Linked DNA regions of Mus musculus. The protein of the gene in region 1 interacts with the protein of each later gene in a pairwise test. Links are inferred from orthologs where the notes say so. Each region holds a gene or a part of one and is shown in the gene's direction. Other genes may lie near its edges.

Region 1 (4,314 bases):
ACAAGACCACTCTGATAGTATCCGTTTATTTTCCCCATTGGTGTAAACCACAGCCACCCACAACTGTCAATCAAAAATGGCTCTGATAAGCACAAAAGAATAAAATAACACCTTATCAAGTGGATCATCTCCCGGGCCATGTGAGAATGCTCTCCAAGTATCTCTGTAGTTCTGGCCCTGGGCCCAGTCTTCATGGATGGTTAGGTACTCAGGGGCTGGAAGTCTTTAGAAAACCATGAAATTCTCAGGGAATCTTATTCACCTGGAGTCTGGGTGAGTCTGCAGAGGGCAACCAGGCCGAAGGACCAGAGAGTGACCAGAGAGACAAATACAAGGAGAATCGAGCAGGGAGGGACATGGGGAAAACGTAGGAATCTAAACAGCCTGGGAGGACAGCCCGAGGGATATGGACCTGACTCTACTGGCAAAGGAGAGCCGTTGATACTGAGGCTAATGGGCACATAGAAGCAGCAAAGCCCATCTCGAAAGCACCTGTTCCTGTGTTCACAGCCTCGGGCATTCCTCTGGGCCCCGTGGGAGAGACCCTGGCTGTTGACCTTTACTCCATGCTGCTAGCAGAAAACACGAGGCTTCGGACAGAGCTGGAAAAGAACCGCCAGCAGTCAGCCCCCATCATTCTGCAGCAGCAGGCCCTACCGGTAAGAGCTGCCACACAGGTCTGGCTTGAGCCTGCCGGCACTGGTCAGCAGGTAGCCCACAATCATCCCTCGCATGAACCAAGTTGAAGATTCGGCCCAGAATCTGGGCTTCCCAGCACCCAACAGCACTGGAAACATTCGTACTAGGGCCTTGCTCTTGCGCTCCTAAGATAACTATCTCACCATTGTCTGCCATCCTGGGAGAGAGCAAGGCCCTGGATCACCCTTGACCCCTGAATCCTAACTTCACCTGCCACCTGACTTGCTCCCATCTGGACACCCTCCCACCATGGGGCCTCTCAGGACCTTCTGGGATTGGTGCAGCCTTGGAGAGCCCTTTTCCCCATCCCAGGTGGATCCCAGGGAGTTGGGAGCAGGTGGAGATTTGGCAGAAAGGCTACAAGACACAAATGGCCCGGGCCACCCCAAGTCCACAGAGACCCTGCCAGCACAGGTGGGTGTCCCAGGAGGCTACTCCACTGCCCAGGCTGCTCCAGGTGCCCCTGCTGTACACAAACCCAAAATCAATATTTGGAGCTCTGGTGGCATGAGAACACAGGTGAGTGTGCTTCCTCATCCCAGGACGTGAGTTCTGCTTGCATTATCCCAGTGCATGGGCAGCCAGGCAAAGCGTGAGAGATGGGTATCCCCTGCTCTGATGAGCCTTTATGCTACAAAAGACCTCCAGTTTAACCACATACCATGTATTAATGCATTTACATAAGCAGTTGATATGTTAAAGCATTAGGTATGAGTCGGGGGTGCAGCTCAGTTGATAGAATGCTTGCCTAGCATATGTGAAGCCCTGTGTTCGATCCCCAGCACTGTATAAATCTACACCTGCTTGCAACCCCAGCACTCAGGAGAATGGGGGCAGGAGGAGCAGAAGTAAAGTCATTCTCACAATGTAGTGAGTTCAAGGCCAGCCTGGAATATATATTATCCCACCTTAAAAAAAATGGTTTAAGGTTAGACTCTCCAGTACTGAGTGGGAAGCAACGTGGGAGATTAAGTGCATGTGAAGCCCTGGGACGGTCTTAAGGAAGAGGCCCTGGCCCGGGAGTGAGGCTCTGTATCCACAGCTGAATTTGAAACCCACACCTGGCTGGCTTTTCTTGCAGTAGACTTGTGTTTCCATGGCTCTCTTGGCCTCAGCTCCCAGCTAGGACCTTACAGTAGTGTGTGCTCCCACAGGACTTCCTTGGTGGTACTTCAGACAAGTTTAACCTCCTGGCCAAGCTAGAACAAGCTCAGAGTCGGATCTTGTCCCTGGAAAACCAGGTAAGTGAGGTGCTGGGGTTGATCAGGCTGAACCAGGCTCACTGTTCAGCCTACAGCCAGGGGCAAGGCTTAGTATACAAGCAGAGTCAAGGCTCAGTGTCTGACAGAATTAGGCTCAGTATGTGAGGGTCAGTCTTAGTCTGTGACCAGAGTCAAGGCCCAGTGTAGACTCAGATCAGACTGGACTCCATACCAAGTGCAGAGAAGATCCGACTGTGTCTTGGGCTGCGTATTTGTCGCCTCACCTCTGCTACTGCCAGAGCTTGCTTGCCTCTTCCCAGAGGATCGCCCCAAATTCTGATTGTCCTGGCTTGAGGTAGGGAAAACCATACTGACTGCTGGCTTTCCAATGGCTTCTCTCCATGTCTGAAGCTGGAGGAGTCAGCTCGCCACTGGGCACGAGAGAAGCAAAACCTGGCCATTCGTCTTCAAGAGCAACAACACGGCTTTGGACAGCCACCAAACTCCATCATCATAGACCAGCCTGTGAGTGACCCTGACGGAGTAGTTCCTGGAAATCTAGGTGGTGGGCTAGAAGCCATCCCACCCCAAATCTTGGGGCCCTGAGAAAATCATGTGTGTGGGGGGTAGATCGTAAGCTAAGTAAGTGTCAGAAGTCTTGAGCTGAGGTTCTGTCAGCAAACTGGATATTCAAGTGACCTCCATTCCTCCACACATCCAAAGGGGCAGGAGTGTCTGCCCATGTGTCCCCTTTCCCATTGGTTGTTGTGAACCTCTAGGAGACCAGTGTGGGTGAGAAATGACCTATACTAAGCATTTCTGGAATGTTCTTGCTCTACTTTGGCTTCACAGAATACCTTGTACCTCTTCCCACCCGTTTCTCTGTTTAGCTGCCTTTTTTTTCTTTTTCTTTTTCTTTTTGTTTCTGGCTTTTCAAAGCAGGGTTTCTCTGTGTAACAGCCCTGGATACCCTAGAACTCACTTTGTAGACCAAACTGACCTCAAACTCACAGAGATTTTGCCTGCCTCTGCCTCCCAAGTGCTGAGATTAAAGGTGTGTTTAGCTGCCTTCTTAGGTTATGTCAACACTAGGAATAGATCCACATTGCCTTCTTCCCAGGAACAAATAGTTAACCACAGAGAAGGCAGTACTCCCTACCCGAGGGCCAGCCCTGGGACTTCACACCCTACAACAAAGATCCTGATTTCCCTACCCTCCCCAATCAGCACTTGGCTTGCAGCCAAGGCTCTACCACCCCTAGACAGAACCTGAAGGATGAGGGGCTTCCGGGGAGCATAGCTTACCTCTGTAAGCTTATCTAGCACTAGGGACCCAGAGATATGAGGGGTCACTTTCGGTGATGAAATGGGCTCCAATGTTAGTCAGAAGTCACAGCCTACTGGGTTTTGAAGACTCAGGAGCCTGACTTGCCAGGTAAGATGCCCTTGGAGTGGGGATGTACTCATCTGCCCTACTTGCATGTCATAGAATGCTGGAGCATCCAAGAATCGCCAGCAGCTCTCGAAACTGGAAACCTCCCTGCCCAGCTCAGACAAGAAGCTCAACAGACCCTCAGACTCTCAGATTGAGATCTCTAACAACCAGAAGACCTGAGACCGGAGCAGATCTCCTTCGCCATGTGCTGGGGATTCACGTGCCCCCAAAGACGCCTTTAATAAAAGCTGTCAGTCAATAAGCATTTGTCTTTCTTTTTTTTTTTTTAAAGATTTACTTATTTATTATATGTAAGTACACTGTAGCTGTCTTCAAATGCACCAGAATAGGGTGTTAGATCCCATTATGGATGGTTGTGAGCCACCATGTGGTTGCTGGGATTTGAACTCAGGACCTTCAGAAGAGCAGTCAGTGCTCTTAACCGCTGAGCCATCTCTCCAGCCCGTGTTTGTCTTTCTTGTGGAATAAACAATTGCTCTTCTCACATCCAACTTGGGTCCTGGGTTCTCTGAGGTGGCCTGGTACCTGCTGCCTGAGCTGGAAAGCTGGGATGATCCCTGGAGAGTTCTGAGGAGAGGGACCATGGAGACTAGAAATAAGGTGCCTGAAGCCAAGCTCTGTGCAAGACAAGAGAGAGGCCATGTTTCCACTCAGCCCTCCTACACCTTTCATGTCTGAAATCCTTTTACACAGGCTTAGGTCTTCAGAGTTACCCAGGAACAGAAAGGCTTGCAGCTTTTCTATGACACCATTCAAATATCCCATCATGGCTGGCAGAACAGGTGATATGTGTATAAATGTAGCCAGAGTCAGGAAGTCGTGAGAGCTGGAACCCCAGCTGGCCTGGGTTCTGGGGCATGAGCTTTCTGAGTGACTCTAACTAACTGGAAATCTCTCTGAACCCCAGATTCTTTATCTACCCCCTGCAGAGCTATCTGTCTGAGCAAGGAGGCCCTT
Region 2 (4,723 bases), on another chromosome or scaffold:
GGACTTTGCTCAGTACGGGGAATCCGGGAATTCATTTCTGACTATCATCTTCCGGGGTGAGCTGGTCTAGGTTATTAAAGCAATCTTTAAATTGGGGCTGAAATGCCTATGTCTTTGATCCGGGCTGTTCTTACTAAACAATGGATTCTGAGAGCACTCGGGACTTTCCTCTTTACAAACCTGAAGACTGTCATCATCATAAGCTAACGGGCCTTGAACGATCATTTCTGGACTCAGTTTCAAGGAACTCAAGGCCCAGGGGGACCTAGGTTTTTCTCCTGAAAAGTAGCTAGCTGGAATCCATCTCTTCCCTTCTGTATTTCTTTCTCCTTCTAGAACTTGTCTTCAAGCTTGAAGGAGAAACCTGCCCTTTTCTTTGTTTTATATAAGACAAAATAATAGTAAGTAATAACTGAAAGTCTTTTTATCGGGAAGGAACTTCCTCCGGTCCAAGCAAGTATTGCTGCTGATACTTTACAGAGAGGGCCAGCCTCACCGCTGGAGTTCGCTCTTTGAAAGAGGCTAGGGGAGGGAATTCTGCCGCCAGCAGATGGAGAGGAGACCCGGACAACGTGGTCCCTCCCAGACACCCTCCCTGCGGGATTAGCTGCCCCCAGCTCTGCTCAGGCGCACCTAGCGCGTGAGGTTCCTGGTCACACAGCTTGCGCCCCTCTCTGGAGAGCAGTCGCAGCTACTAGCTTGCCGCCAGCAGAGCCGCACTGTCTCGGGCATCGCAGAGCACCACGACTGTGGACTTGGGACCTCGAACCCGAGACGAGCGCGCGCTAGCCAGCCATTAGCAACGCTTGCATTTCTGCAGGTGCTTATTTCACATTCTTGTCTTTTCTTTCCTGCTGGAACGGGCGAGTGGTTACTTTCAGCCTGAGGCCAAAGGGAAAGGCAGAAGAAGGGGAACTCTGAAAAAGACAGTTTAGTGGCAGCGGGATTCTTGCCCCAGGAGAGGGGCTCAGGGGAGACTCTCGGTCTCTGCCGCGGGCCCTTTTAAGAAGCCAAGTCAGGGCTGCCGCTGTCGCCGTTGCTGCTGCTGCCGCTGCCGCCGCCGCCGCCGCCGCCGCCGCTATTTGGATTGCTAATCCCCAGGAGCCCCGTTTAAAAAAAAAAAAAAAAAGGAAGAAAAAAAGGGGGGAGGGGGCGGGCAGCTGTCTCTTTAAATGTGATTTCCTTCTATTGTATTTGAATCGTGATCAGGAAAAAGGAAATGAAACCAGAGACAGAGGGAAGCTGAGCGAAAATAGACCTTCGCGAGAGAGGAGGGAGCCTGGGGAGAGCCGCGCGGTCAGCTCCCCGCCCCCAGGCCGCCGCCCCCTCACTGCCCCCGGCGCCCCGACCCCGGCGAAGGTGCGAGGGGCTCGGGGCGACCGGGCGGAGCCGGCTACTGCGCGCGATCGGGACCGGGCGGCGGCGGCGGCGGCTGTGGTGACGGCAGCGGGACCGGGATGGAAGGTTAAGTCCTGAGCAGCGGCAGCTGTCGCAGCCACCGGAGGGAGGCCGGGCTGCTCCCCGGCCCCCTGCCTTGGCCGCCGCGCGCCGGGCAGCTGGATGATTCGCTCTCTCTCTTTGGCGTTTGAAGGGAGCGCGGTGACTGTCCTTGAGCGTGGAGGGGCGAGCTCGCCAGCGGAGCGACCGAGCAAGAGGAGGCGCAGGAGCGGCGGCGCCCGAGCACCCGAGGGGGTCCGAGTCCAGGCAGCTAGCCAGCCACGCGCCACAAAGGGAGCGCCCCCGCCGCCCGGCACGCCGCCCCCCTCCCCAATGTCCTCGGCCATCGAAAGGAAGAGCCTGGACCCGTCTGAGTAAGTGTGGCGCTTCTGTTCCGGCACCCCAAACAGGGTCCCAGGCTAGGCGCGAGGGGCTGACTCCAGGTGCGCGCCCGCAGCGTGCCCTTGATCCCTCCGTCTCCCAGGGGTTCTCTTTCCTCGCGGGTGACTCTGGAAACACCGAGAGGGACTGGGCGGCGGAAGCTGTAACTGGGATCGACCCTGCGGACCGCTCCGGGCTATCTGGAAAGCTCCCCAAACCTTTACCAGGGCCAGAAAGTTTGCCCAGGAGCTGGCACCCGGAGCTCTGAGGCACAGGTGCAGGGCAGGGAGAGTGGAGGACAAGATTCTGCCTTCTCCCTTTTCGTCCCACCCTCTCCAGGTTCCCTTCCTTTTTGTCCATTTGGCCTTGGAAAGGGGGGCATCCCAACTAGAACATCCCGGGGTCTCCGACGTCGACTCTCCTACCAGGCCCGGAGTAGAGCGGACAGTTGATGAGGTCCGCTTGTCCACCTGGGAACTGGTTCTGGCCTCCAGAGACTTCTAGAATTGCTAATCTGTCGTTCCTCCCGGTACATGTTCGCCCCTCCCCTGAGTTTCCTAGTGCGGGCATGTGAACCTCGAAAGTTAGTGCACATTTTTTTTTCTGTCTAGTATGTTTTTCTAGGGAGCAGAATCTCATCGAACTCTCAGAAGGGCTGTGTGTGTGTGTGTCAGCGAACCAGAGCTTTAATGAGCATGTACTGTCTAGTGCTCTGAGCTTTGCGCTGGTTTGCAAAGAACAGCCCCCCCTCCCTTCCCCATTCCACAGCCTGTACCCTCCTAGCCCATTCTCTAGCCTTAACAAGGGGAGCCAGGAACGAAGGTATCGGTTTTTTTTTTTCCACGTCCACACAAATGCCCTTTTAAGAGTCATTAGCTGTCTGGTTTTGAGTTTTTATTCCTTTGAAGTCCTCATCTAATCCTTTGAAGGGATTTGTTAACACAAGACCAAAGGCACTGCTAATGACTTGTCCGTTTGGGCTTTTAAGATGCATTTGTTTTGGTGGGGTTTTGCCCCCCTTTTCTTTTCTTTTCCTGCTTTAAAAGAATTGTGCTTTCCTGCTGGAGTTTTCCTATTCACCCCCCCCTTCAATTTCAGCCTTCTGTGGTGTTTATTTACCTGGGCTTTACCCTCAGCCAGCAGCATAAAAACCCAGCGTGTTCTCATAAAACACAGGAAGTCCCACGATCCAGCAAGAATATAAACATCACTCTTCAGTCTTGAAGGTTAAGACACTAGCTCAGAAAGGAGCTAGGTTTGTTGGCAAGAGGACCAGCTTCCTTAAAATCTCAGGAGAGAAACAACAACCCTTTAAAGAGTCAGTGTCTATAGCTTGTTCCCTTTTAAGCATAAGCTTAGAATTACATCTGGGCCCCGAGTTTTCAGAAATTGGACAAGACATAAGATTACACAGTTGGGGAGGCAGTCTGGTGAACTGCTGTTTACTGGCTCCCTATCAGCACAACCTAACCACTAATCCTTTATTAGATGTTGAATCTACAGAGTTTGGCTTCTTAAAAAAATTACTAATTACATGAATGTGTGTGTGCACCTAAGCTCAGGTCCCCTGGAGGCTAGAGGTGAAGGATCTCCCTAGAGTGGGAGTCACAGGTAGTTGTGAGCCATCTGATTTGGGTGTGGAGACTCCAACTTGGGTCCTTTGGAAGAACAGAAATCATCCTTAAACAGCTGAGCCTTCTCTCCAGCCTGGGAATTGTGTTCTGTAAAGGAAGTTTACTCTTGCTAAAGTTGGTGCCTTTTATTGCCTCAGACTAGAAAACTGAAAGGTATCTCATAGCTGTAGTAGTGAGCACCTACCTAGTTCAGGAGGTCCACTGGTAGTTCATCTTTCCTGCAGTATGTGTCCGGTAAAGGAAGGCTGTAACTGAAGATGGACAAGCCCCGTGGGAAATGTCTGTGGAACATTTCCCCTCTTTCTGGGAAATTGTTGAGAAATTTTTGCCAGAAAATCAAAGCTAAAGAGATACTCAGGTGTCATATTTGGGACAGGCTGGCGGGAGAATATCAAATATTAACTTAAGGTAAATCTCATTTAGTCTTTGGCTTGAATTGTTCAACAGAGGTAATGGCATGTCATTAATTATAGAAAGATAGACCGAGTCCGAATCTTGTCCTGTCTTTATCTGTTGTTCTCAGACCCTCGTGTCTCTTTCTCGTGCAACTAGCTCTCCTGCCAGCGGCCTCACTGAGTGCTTGCTCAAAGCCAGCTTGGGTCTTTACCAGCTTGGATCTCCAGATGCAGATCGGTCCTTGCCTAGGCACGTGCAAAGGTAGCGTGTGCACAGGAAGCCAGTATTCATGAACACAGATATCCTTCACCATGCAATTGGTGTTCCCTTCTGCTTCCCTACAGGTCATTTTAATTCTAGCGAATTTTGTTCCAGCTAAGTACAGATTCTTCTCTTTCAAAGTTGGCTGCAATAACATCCACCCTCTGGGCATCAAGCATGATGGGAGTTCTGTGAGTGTTTTTGAAAGCCCACTGTAAAACCTTGAGCTATGCAAAGGATGGAGATTAGATTCTGAATTGGTGCACTTGAATAGGCCAAGGATCTTAGTTAACTTTCAAATATGAGGATGGATGCCTTATATATACCCTATAGAAACAAAGGCTCTAGTAGGAACCTGACAGGGTTTCTCTTTGTAGTTCTGGCTGTCCTGAAACTCACACTGCAGCCCAGGCTGGCCTCAAACTCAGAAATCCACCTGCTTCTGCCTCCAGAGTGCTGGGATTTTTAGGTGTGTGCCACCACTGCCTGGCAACTTCTAGTGTATTATTAAAACGATTTAAGGTCTTAGCCCACCTCACCCATAATTCTGTATACATGAGAGACTGGGGCAGAAGAATGGAAAGTTCCAGGACAACCTGGGCAATTTAGTGAGA
Region 3 (4,972 bases), on another chromosome or scaffold:
CCCCAGACAGGGTCTCCTATGTAGCTCTGCCTGTCCTGGAACTATGTAGACCAGGGTGGTCTCGAACTCAGAGCCTCCTGAGTTCTGGCATTACATGCATGTGCCACAACACCTGGTGTCCTAATGATTTTCTTTCTTTTTTTAAAAAAAGATTTATTTATTATATGTAAGTACACTGTAGTTGTCTTCAGACACACTAGAAGAGGGCGTCAGATCTCATTATGGATGGTTGTGAGCCACCATGTGGTTGCTGGGATTCGAACTCGGGACCTTTGGAAGAGCAGTCAGTGCTCTTAACCGCTGAGCCATCTCACCAGCCCTGTCCTAGTGATTTTCAAATAAGCACTGGTCTACCTTTCCTTCCATTATCTCCCATTACCTCAAAAGTCCAGGAAACGAATCTTAATCACAGAGCACCCCTGGGGTAAACAGGTGTGACATTAAGAAACTGTTAGGTGTCAAACCTGGGACAAATAGCTGGGGTGCCTAGTTAACATGTCAAAGCTGACCTGGCCACCAGGTTCTCCCAGCATCCCTCAGTCCAATACCTGTTACAGGGTCCTCTAGGCTGGCATATCCGGCCCCCTAGCTTGAATCCTCCAGTCCAGGGGGCTGAGCTATTCTTCCCTATATAATCCAACCATTTTGGCTCCCTACCCTCTTTGTAATTTGGGTCTCCTGCTGTACTTGGTTCTGCTGCTCTCTCTCCTCCCTCCCCCACCCCACATCACAGGGCACAGCTCAGTTCACTCTGTACTCTCCCAGATGTTCCTGCCTCTGGCTGTGCTCTCCCACATATCTATAATAAACTTTCTCCTCCACTATACCTAGGACCAGGCATGTCCCTTTCCTTTTTATTTCTCCTTTTTTTTTTTTTTTCATTCAGAAATGACTGTATTGTATTCTCAGAGAGAATGATGTTCGAATACATAGTTACTTAGTGAGGAGATCGGAGAAATAGGACCCTGATGGGCTTGACTGAGGCTTGGGAGAGGAACGCCTCAAAATATTAAACGCATGCTTTGAGACTTTGAATCTTCTCCCCCATTCCGCATTACTTGACAATCAGCGTGAAGAAGTAGAAAACTAATTTAGTTTGTGGAATTTAAGCAGTATGAAAATTCAGCGGTTTACTATTTTAGGAAATGTATCACCTGATATTTGTGTGCCATAAATATTAGGGTCACGTCAGAAGAGAAACTTGATTTTACGACCAATTTTTATATTTGAAAACACGAAACACTGTTTTGTACTAGTTTTATATAAAGAATCACGGCCTCTTAATCTCAGCCCCTCCGGGCTTGCCTCTTCAAAGGGCTTGATGGGGACCTACAGAGGTTTCTAAAAGGCTATAACTGAAATTAAGTGCTTCGTCAAAGGGCGATTTTGTGGAACTCTCTCCCATTTTACGTCGCTAAACTTAAGTACAATAATGTCACATGTATACAGTATTTGTGGGCACGCCTAAGTCCCTCCCTCTCTCCTTGAACCAATATCTCCACATATTAGAAATCCAGCCCTTCTGCCCTCCGGAGGCGCCTTTCCCAACGTAAAGTACAATTTTAAAATTTAAGCTCCCGACTAAAAGAATGATCCCCAATCAACTGCTGGGGAACCTGGGCGCCCTAGTGCCTGCGGAGGGTGCAGTCGGGCGTGGGCACGGACAGGGGGAGTGGGCGAAGCTGCTGGTTGGTGCCTGAAATCTGTGCGTTGCCCCTTTAATTGTGTCCTCAGCCCTCGGGCGTTTCTGTCCAACGCCCACGTCAGCAAATACCTTTTGTTTCTCCCACGTTGGGGCTACTTGTTTTAGGGCGCAAAGCCTCGGCTTCGGAAAGGGGCTGCTTCCCCTACCCGGAACCGGGAATCGCTCCGCAGCGCGCGCGCGCGCGAGCGAGCGAGCGAGCGAGCGGCTAGAGCCCCGCGGTAAGTGGCTGCACGGGCGCGGGCGGGAGGAGGGCGGCCCGGGCGTCGGGGCTGCGGGCCGGGCCCAGAGCCTGGCGGAGGGCGGCGGAGCCGCCGGGGTGCGCCCCGGGACTGCAACCCCAGCCGGTGCGCCGGGCGACGCAGGGGGCACCCGGCGCCATTTGCAGCCGGGGGCGCAGAGCGGCGGCTCCGAGGGTCGGCGACGGCCACAAAGGAGACGCGGGCGGCGGCGGCGGCCCCGGGCGCGGCTGCGGGACAATGGCTGCACCGTCGCCGCCCGCGCCCGCCCCGCCGCCAGCCTTGGCCCGGCCCGGGGAAAGGCGGGAAGGCGCCCGAGCCTCCTGACGGCCGCGGCGGCGAGGCGGCGCCACGGGGCCGGGCGTGTCTGCAGACGTCGGGCGCGGGGCGCGGGGCGCTGCAGCCCGGCGGTCTCACTCCGCCCTCCACTCTCTGGTTTTCCATCACGACGCGACAGTTCTGGGCTTAGAACCGAGGGCAGAAATATGGAGCCCCAGCTGGCCCCGCGGCAGAATGTCCCTGGCATCTCCCACCTGGAGACACTGTCGGCTTTAGTCCCTTCGCGCTCTGGCGCGCTTACTCGCCCTTGACCGTGCGGTTATTCGTAATCCACGTCTTTGCGAGACGTGTTTGGAATAGGATTCACACCTAGCGGGCACCCAACCACACACGCCGCCAACACCTAGAAGTCTTTCTATTTGCAGAACTTTAGTAAATGGAGTGGTTTCACTTTGACGAAATATTGCACTTAATTTCTTATGAGACGGCTACGGGTTCCGGCTGTTTATTCTACCTAGCAAAGGGGAAAGGGGGAAAAATAAAACGCTAATGGTTAGGGAGTCTCATCCCTAGGCAGGGAGCTGAGACGTGGCAGCCCCCCAAGGCGCCCTGTTCTTGCAGCGTCCCGGAACAGTCTCCAAAGTACCAAAACCTTCGCTGATTTTATCACTTAAATCGCACTTTTATTTACCTATTTATTCTTTGTTTTAAAGCGGACTCAGGCTAGACTTGAAAATTTGATCTTACCTCCACCTCGGGAGGGCTGGGATGCACTAGGCAAATTTTTGGCACAATTATATACTTTTTAATATTCAAAGACGTTAATATAAGTTTTAAAACTCCTCTTTTAAAAAGCTATTTTATATATCTTTTTTTTGAAGGCACTGTTTCATGTACCCCAGGCTAGCCCTAAATCTTGGACCTCTGATTCTCTTGCAGCCCCTACCAAATGCTGGGATTACAGGCATAGATCACCACACCTGATATTATCCTGTACTTGAATTGAACCCATGCATGTCACATAGGCACTCTACCACTAAACCCAGCCCTCTCCAAACCTTAAATGGCTCCTTCACATCCTACTAAAAAAATAAAAAAATCCAAAACCCCCATGGTGTGTGTGTGTGTGTGTGTGTGGTGTGTGTGGTGTGTGTGCGTGTGGCGTGTGTGTGTGTGTGTGTGTGTGTGTGTGTGTGTGTGTGTGTGTATTTTGAACCCGGGCCTTGCATGGGCTAGGTAAATGTTACCATTGAGATACATCCCCAGGCCCCTTATTTTAAATTTTAATTTTATTATGAGATGAGGGTTTTCTCAGGGTTGCCTTGGTCTTACTTCTTCCTGCCCCGCCTCCCAAGACCCTGGGGTTAGCCGACATTACTGGCACACCACAGTGACCTCCTCTCCCCACCCATCCCTCCTCCATCTGTTCCTGTCCACCTCACGGCCTTTGCACCTGCTGTTTGGTTTGCCTGGAGTAGTTTCAAAGATACACATTCTTTCCTGCTATGGACACCAATCACTCAGATGTCATCTTCTCGGTGAGGCCTTTCCAAGTATAGTTTCAAAACTCGAGTCTCTCTCTATTTTTTTTTTTTTTTAGATTTATATATATATGTGTGTGTGTGTGTGTGTTGCCTGCCTTTGTGCCAGTATACCAAGTGCTTGCCTGGTGCCAGATGAGGGTGTTGAATCCCCTTACATGGATGTTAGAGATGGCTGTGAACCTCCATGTGGGTGCTGGGGATTGAACCCAGATCCTTGGAGAAACAGCCAGTGCTTTTAACTGCTGAGCCATCTACCCAGTCCCTCTTAAGTGTTCTAACATTTCATTCTAAGACTTTCCTATCTTAGACCCTGTAGACCATATGTGCTACTAAGATTACCGAAGGTCAGGTCACATAGAAGGAACAGATATTACTGGGCCGTGGCGTTGCATACCTTTAATCCCAGCAGAAGCAGGCAGATCTCTCTGTTTTGGAAGCCAGCCTGGTCAACAGATCAAGTTCCGGGCCAACCAGGGCTACATACACAGGGAATCCCTGTCTAGAAGAAAACAACAGAACAGATATTTACTTCTTGCACTGGTAGATGCTGGGAAGCACAAGATTATGGTGCCCTGTGTGGCTTCTTTCTGCTTCCCGGAAGGCACCTCTTCGTGGCATACATAATGAGGGTAAATACAGTGCTGTGCCTTCATTAGTAAAATGGGTAGAAGGGATGAGGTGGAGAGCAGACCTACTCCTCCAAATCTCTTTATTAGGATGCTAATCCCGTCCCCGAGGGCAGCACCCCTCCCCCCAGGGTGGCCTAATCACCCCCTAAAAGCTCCTATAATACTCTTCCTCCTCTGCGAGTGAACTTTCAGCCTGAACTTTGGAGGCGACACAGATTTCTAAAGCTCAGCTCTTAAGTTGTTTCTGGACTTAATTCTAAACCTTCCCAGAATTGTACATGGCCGTTCGTCCTCCGAAGAAATACAGTCGCCATTCAAAGAACAGTTTGCTCTCTTCCCGTTAGCCCAAAGTTAGGAGGTGGGGTTTTTACTAGGACCACACACTAAGGCCTCCATCAGGGCTGTGTGCAGTGGGAAAAGATGGCTTTCTGGAGCACAAATTTCATCCAGGTTTCCCGTGTCGCCCAAAGGTCAGTCTAAAAGACTTCTTTCCTTTCTAGTCCGAAGACCTTCAACATTGATGGTTCCTAAAATCGTGATTGTCTTTTTCCAACACTCTTTAAAAGATCATTGACCTGA
Region 4 (4,725 bases), on another chromosome or scaffold:
TCCAGCCCTAGCATAAAGGCCAGCTATAGTGGTGATGCAGGTTTGTAACCCTTAGAGGGCCAGGGAGGTGAAGACTGGCAGACCACTCTGGCACTCTGGCCACGCAATCTAGCTAAATTAGTAATTTCCAGCGACAAACCCTGTCTTAAAACATAAGGTGAATAGGTACACACGAATATACCACATACATTACCACTCAGACAGTTAAATGAAATGAAGCAGATTTTTTTTTTTAAACGTCAAGGCAGAGCGGAGCATGGTAGTGTACACCTTTCATCCCAGAGCCTAGGAGGCAGAAACAGGCGGATCTTTGTGAGTTCGAGGCCTCATCTACTTAGTGAGTTCCAGAACAGTCAGAGTTACACAATGTGAGACCCTGTCTCAAAATGACAAAACAAAAACAAACAAACAAACAAGATGGAAAGAGGTTGGGTAAGGGAAAGTTAAGGAAGACCTGGTTATTGCCGCTAGCGGTCTGGGCCAGGCACGGGAACCCTGGACACGCAACCCTTTCCCGTCTAGGCCCGCCTTGAGACGTGGGCAACGCGAAGTCCCGCCCATTCACCCCTTCCTGGGCGCTGGAGGCACCCAGACTCCGCCTCCAAGGCATGATCTCCGCTGGGGGCGGAGGCGGAAACTGGGTGGGGGACTTGGATGGGAAGAGGCTCGGGAAAGGGCTGGCACTGGGCCCTAGTGTCCTCCGCGCCCAAGTTCAAGCTTGCCCGCCTTCCCAGGGGCTTCCATTCATTTCGAGCCAAGAATACTGCTGCCCTCTCCCCCATACTACTGTAGTTTTGCGCTGGCACGGCTTGGGGAAGCAGTACCCCAAGTAAAGAGACCACCTGGAGGCCGTGGATGTGGATGCAGAGGGAATTGGACAATTAATTTGGACAATTAATTAAGTTGGACGAGGGTCTGGAAACCTTGGATGAAGTTTTAGGATCATCTAAGTGATGATGGTTTAACACTGGATAAAATTCTGAAAGGAGTAGAATTTGAAGCTCTGAGGATTAAATGCCTAGTAGGTTCTGGGAGGCGCAGAATCGGGTTACACGGAGGTGCGAATGCACAGCATGGGATTCCGGAGGCACAGGTTAGATAGGGTCTAGGTGGGCAGAATAACATTTTGAGTGAAGGCCCGGGGTCCTTAGGTGAGTTTGGGGGCCAAGCATCAAGGTCAGTGGCCTAAGGATCCAAACTTTGGGAAACTCTGGCTGGGCGTCCGCAGGCGACTCCAGGCAGCGCCGCGGGGGACCGGGTGGGGGCCTGTGGCCGGCCGGGGCGGAGAAGCCGGGGGGTCGGGGTCCCTCCCCCTGGCGCGGGCTCAGGAATCCGCCGAAGGGCGGGCGGAGGCGCCGGGGTGGGCCGCGGCCGGCGGGCGGGCGGGGGGCGCTTCCTGGGGCCGCGCGTCCAGTGAGCTGCGCGGTCCGTCCGTCCGTCCGCCCGCCCGCAGGCACTGCTGGAGTCGACGCGTGAGTGGCCTCCAGCGGAGGGAGGGCGCGGGCCGTTTGGCGGCCGAGTCGGTGCTGCGCGGAGCGGGGAGGCCTGCGCTTCACGACTCGCGGGGCGGGGGCGGGGCGGTCCGGGATTGCGGGCCTGGGCCATAGGCCTGCGAAAGGATTCTGTCCCCAGCCCTGGAAGGTTCCAGCCTCAGCACAGTCCTGAGACGAGACAGCTGGGACCCAGGCTCCCCTTCCAGATAGAGGGAATGGGGGGTGCTGTGGCAGAAACCCCTGACTTCTGCCCACCACCTCCCAGCCTCAGGATGCTCCCTTTTGCCTCCTGCCTCCCCGGGTCTTTGCTGCTCTGGGCGTTTCTGCTGTTGCTCTTGGGAGCAGCGTCCCCACAGGATCCCGAGGAGCCGGACAGCTACACGGTGGGGACCGTGGGGTCACCAGCTTGGGATGGGATGGGAAGGACAGTGAGATCAGGATCCTGGGGAGGCTGCTTCTGGGCAAGATTCTCCCCGGCTTGGTTGGTGGAAAGCTGGAGGCCATTGTGTGGAGCTGACCCGAGCATGACTCTGAACTCTGGCCCTGGTCTTGGCCTGGCTAGTTGGTGGAGACAGCCAGGGTGGTCACTGGCCACATCGGGTTCCCTTCCAGGAATGCACAGATGGCTATGAGTGGGATGCAGACAGCCAGCACTGCCGGGGTGAGTCTCTGTCTGGGGTACTAGCCATCTTCAGGAACTGGGAAGGGGGTTGTTGTTTCCCAGGGATACCTTACCTCCCAGAGCTGCTGCAGGAACTTGATGGCCCTTTTCCCTGTCCAGCTTGGTAGCCAGCCATGCTTCCCTTGTGCCACTCAGTTAGGAGCCCTGCCCCTTCAAGAAGCTGGACAAACGGCCTCTATCCTGCAGGAGGGAAGGGAGCACCTGGCTATTGCCCAGAGAGAAGGAAATACGCACACCTTCCCTGGACTGCACTGTACCTGCCTAGCCCAGCTCTTTATCCCAATGCAGCCTGGGAGAGCCGTGCATGCCCCGTGGGTCGGCAGGCCCGCAAAATTTCTCTTGGGCAAAGGTAGAGGCAGGGATTTGAGGAGGCAGGAGAATGGAGATACCAGTGTGAAACAGGGGGCCCCACTCCCAGTCCTGCCAATCCCTGGCAGGGCTTCTGGGTCAGCAGCCTTAGTTTGCCTAGCAGAGAGAAAGTCTTGCTCTGTTGCTCAGCTTAGAGAAGGCCAAGTTGGGCATCTGCCTCCCACTACCTCCAGGGCCAGCCCAGGTGACTGGCTGTGCCCAGCAGGCCCCTCTCTGCAGATGTCAACGAGTGCCTGACCATCCCGGAGGCTTGCAAGGGTGAGATGAAATGCATCAACCACTACGGGGGTTATTTGTGTCTGCCTCGCTCTGCTGCCGTCATCAGTGATCTCCATGGTGAAGGACCTCCACCGCCAGCGGCCCATGCTCAACAACCAAACCCTTGCCCGCAGGGCTACGAGCCTGATGAACAGGAGAGCTGTGTGGGTAAGCAAGGGCTGATCGGGTGTCTGGGCTTCCACGCGGTTTATGAGTTTTTTCCCCGAGACAGGGTTTCTCTGTGGAGCCCTGGCTGTCCTGGAACTCATAGACCAGGCTGGCCTCGAACTCAGAAATCTGCCTGCCTCTGCCTCCCGAGTGCTGGGATTATAGGCGTGTGTTACCATTCCTGACTTTTTTTTTTTTTAATTTTTAAACTAATTTTGTATTTACTGTACAAAGTAATGCGTTCCATCATGGTATCATCTCCTGGCACATGTCATTCTTGTTTGTTTTCATCTTCTAGTAGCACTTTTTGGTCCTCCCTAGTTTTTGTTGTTGTTGTTTTTGTTTTTTATTTATTTTTTTGTTTTCTTTTGGGGGCGATTTTGAGACAGTTTCTGGATTTGATCCCCACCATCACAAAAACAAGAGGATCTCTGTGGGTTCCAAGCTAGTTGTGGTCTGTGTGGTAGCAGACACTTGTAGTCCCACCAGTGGGGAGATGTGAGCAGGAAGACCTGAAGGTAAAGGGCACCCTCAACCGTAAGGGCTTTGACTGAGGACGACCTGAGCTGGGTGAGCTCTTATCTCAAAAAGGGAGCTAATTAATTAATTAATTAGTAAAAGTAATGTTCCCTATAAAATCCCCAGGCCTCATGCTCCTCTTCCCCCTGGCTCCTCAGAGACAGATCCAAGTCGTCATCTACTGCAGGCTTAGCATGGTCTGCAGGCCCAGGAAGGCCCTGGCAGCCCCTCATTTCCTGTACAGACACAGGAGCTCTGCTCGCAGCCTCTGGCAGCTTTTTGATCTGGAGTCAGCCTTGGGAACCATTGGCCTTGGAGGAGGAAAGATCCTGGCCCTAGAGTCAGCTGAGGGGTGTAAATGGACAAGGTTTTGTTTGTTTGTGTATTTATTTATTTTTAAGACAGTGTCTCATTCTGTAGCTCTAGCTACAACTAGCTTGGAACCCACAGAGATCCTCTTGCCTCTGCCCCCCACGTCCTCCCCCAGTGGTGGAGTTAAAGGTGTGTGCCACCAGACCCCACAAGGCCTTATTTTAATATGCTCTCCTAGTGGGTACTTCTCCTAGTGACTCCTTGGTGGACTCTTTTTTTTTTTTTTTTTTTGTACTATTGGGATGATCTGAATTACACATCCATGATTTAGTGCCAACCACCCACGTGCCCATGTGAATGGAGTCTAGGGCAGTCCGCCTCCTCCCGAATTGAGATCCCTCACGTGGTCAGGAGCATATGGGGGCCTCCAGGCGAAGGCTGAATGCTGTCTCTCACAGATGTGGACGAGTGTACCCAGGCTTTGCATGACTGTCGCCCTAGTCAGGACTGCCATAACCTTCCTGGCTCCTACCAGTGCACCTGCCCTGATGGTTACCGAAAAATTGGACCCGAATGTGTGGGTGAGTTCTGAGTGGCTCTGCTAGGTTCTTGTTCTGTGACCTTGGTCTGGCTCCTGGTCTGATGCCTTACCTCACCCCAGTCCTCTGCTACTAGTGCACTCCTGTCACTAGACACGGAAGATTAAATGTGGGTGACTCAGCCCAGCTCGCTGACGAGGGCGGGCAGGGGTGGTTGCCGAGGTGAGCCAACTCAGGCCCCACCTGGCCTGTGTTCTACTTTCCCTCCCCCACCTCCATCTCAGACATAGATGAGTGTCGTTACCGCTATTGCCAGCATCGATGTGTGAACCTGCCGGGCTCTTTTCGATGCCAGTGTGAGCCAGGCTTCCAGTTGGGACCTAAC

The links. The genes of interacting proteins can lie anywhere in the genome.
Region 2: the proteins of Ccdc33 (region 1) and Lmo2 interact in a two-hybrid assay, tested with the Homo sapiens proteins (2 studies listed by BioGRID). The two-hybrid records come from large-scale screens. The link is inferred for Mus musculus from reciprocal best matches to the Homo sapiens genes CCDC33 and LMO2.
Region 3: the proteins of Ccdc33 (region 1) and Zbtb8a interact in a two-hybrid assay, tested with the Homo sapiens proteins (2 studies listed by BioGRID and IntAct). The two-hybrid records come from large-scale screens. The link is inferred for Mus musculus from reciprocal best matches to the Homo sapiens genes CCDC33 and ZBTB8A.
Region 4: the proteins of Ccdc33 (region 1) and Efemp2 interact in a two-hybrid assay, tested with the Homo sapiens proteins (2 studies listed by BioGRID). The two-hybrid records come from large-scale screens. The link is inferred for Mus musculus from reciprocal best matches to the Homo sapiens genes CCDC33 and EFEMP2.

What each region holds. Positions count from the first base shown.
Region 1 is NC_000075.6:58,027,960-58,032,273, reverse strand, and holds the end of Ccdc33 (coiled-coil domain-containing protein 33), read left to right. Parts: intron 1-510; coding exon 511-659; intron 660-1,011; coding exon 1,012-1,218; intron 1,219-1,853; coding exon 1,854-1,940; intron 1,941-2,312; coding exon 2,313-2,426; intron 2,427-3,390; coding exon 3,391-3,516; 3' UTR 3,517-3,592; downstream 3,593-4,314.
Region 2 is NC_000068.7:103,968,902-103,973,624, forward strand, and holds the start of Lmo2 (rhombotin-2), read left to right. Parts: upstream 1-1,385; 5' UTR 1,386-1,457; coding exon of another isoform or gene 1,458-1,464; 5' UTR 1,465-1,560; coding exon 1,561-1,811; intron 1,812-4,723. UniProt on the Homo sapiens protein: Acts with TAL1/SCL to regulate red blood cell development. Also acts with LDB1 to maintain erythroid precursors in an immature state.
Region 3 is NC_000070.6:129,374,691-129,379,662, reverse strand, and holds the start of Zbtb8a (zinc finger and BTB domain-containing protein 8A), read left to right. Parts: upstream 1-1,634; 5' UTR 1,635-1,923; intron 1,924-4,972. UniProt on the Homo sapiens protein: May be involved in transcriptional regulation.
Region 4 is NC_000085.6:5,473,303-5,478,027, forward strand, and holds the start of Efemp2 (EGF-containing fibulin-like extracellular matrix protein 2 isoform 1 precursor), read left to right. Parts: upstream 1-1,387; 5' UTR 1,388-1,472; exon of another isoform or gene 1,473-1,708; coding exon of another isoform or gene 1,709-1,765; coding exon 1,766-1,876; intron 1,877-2,105; coding exon 2,106-2,154; intron 2,155-2,763; coding exon 2,764-2,970; intron 2,971-4,259; coding exon 4,260-4,382; intron 4,383-4,624; coding exon 4,625-4,725. UniProt on the Homo sapiens protein: Plays a crucial role in elastic fiber formation in tissue, and in the formation of ultrastructural connections between elastic laminae and smooth muscle cells in the aorta, therefore participates in terminal differentiation and maturation of smooth muscle cell (SMC) and in the mechanical properties and wall integrity maintenance of the aorta.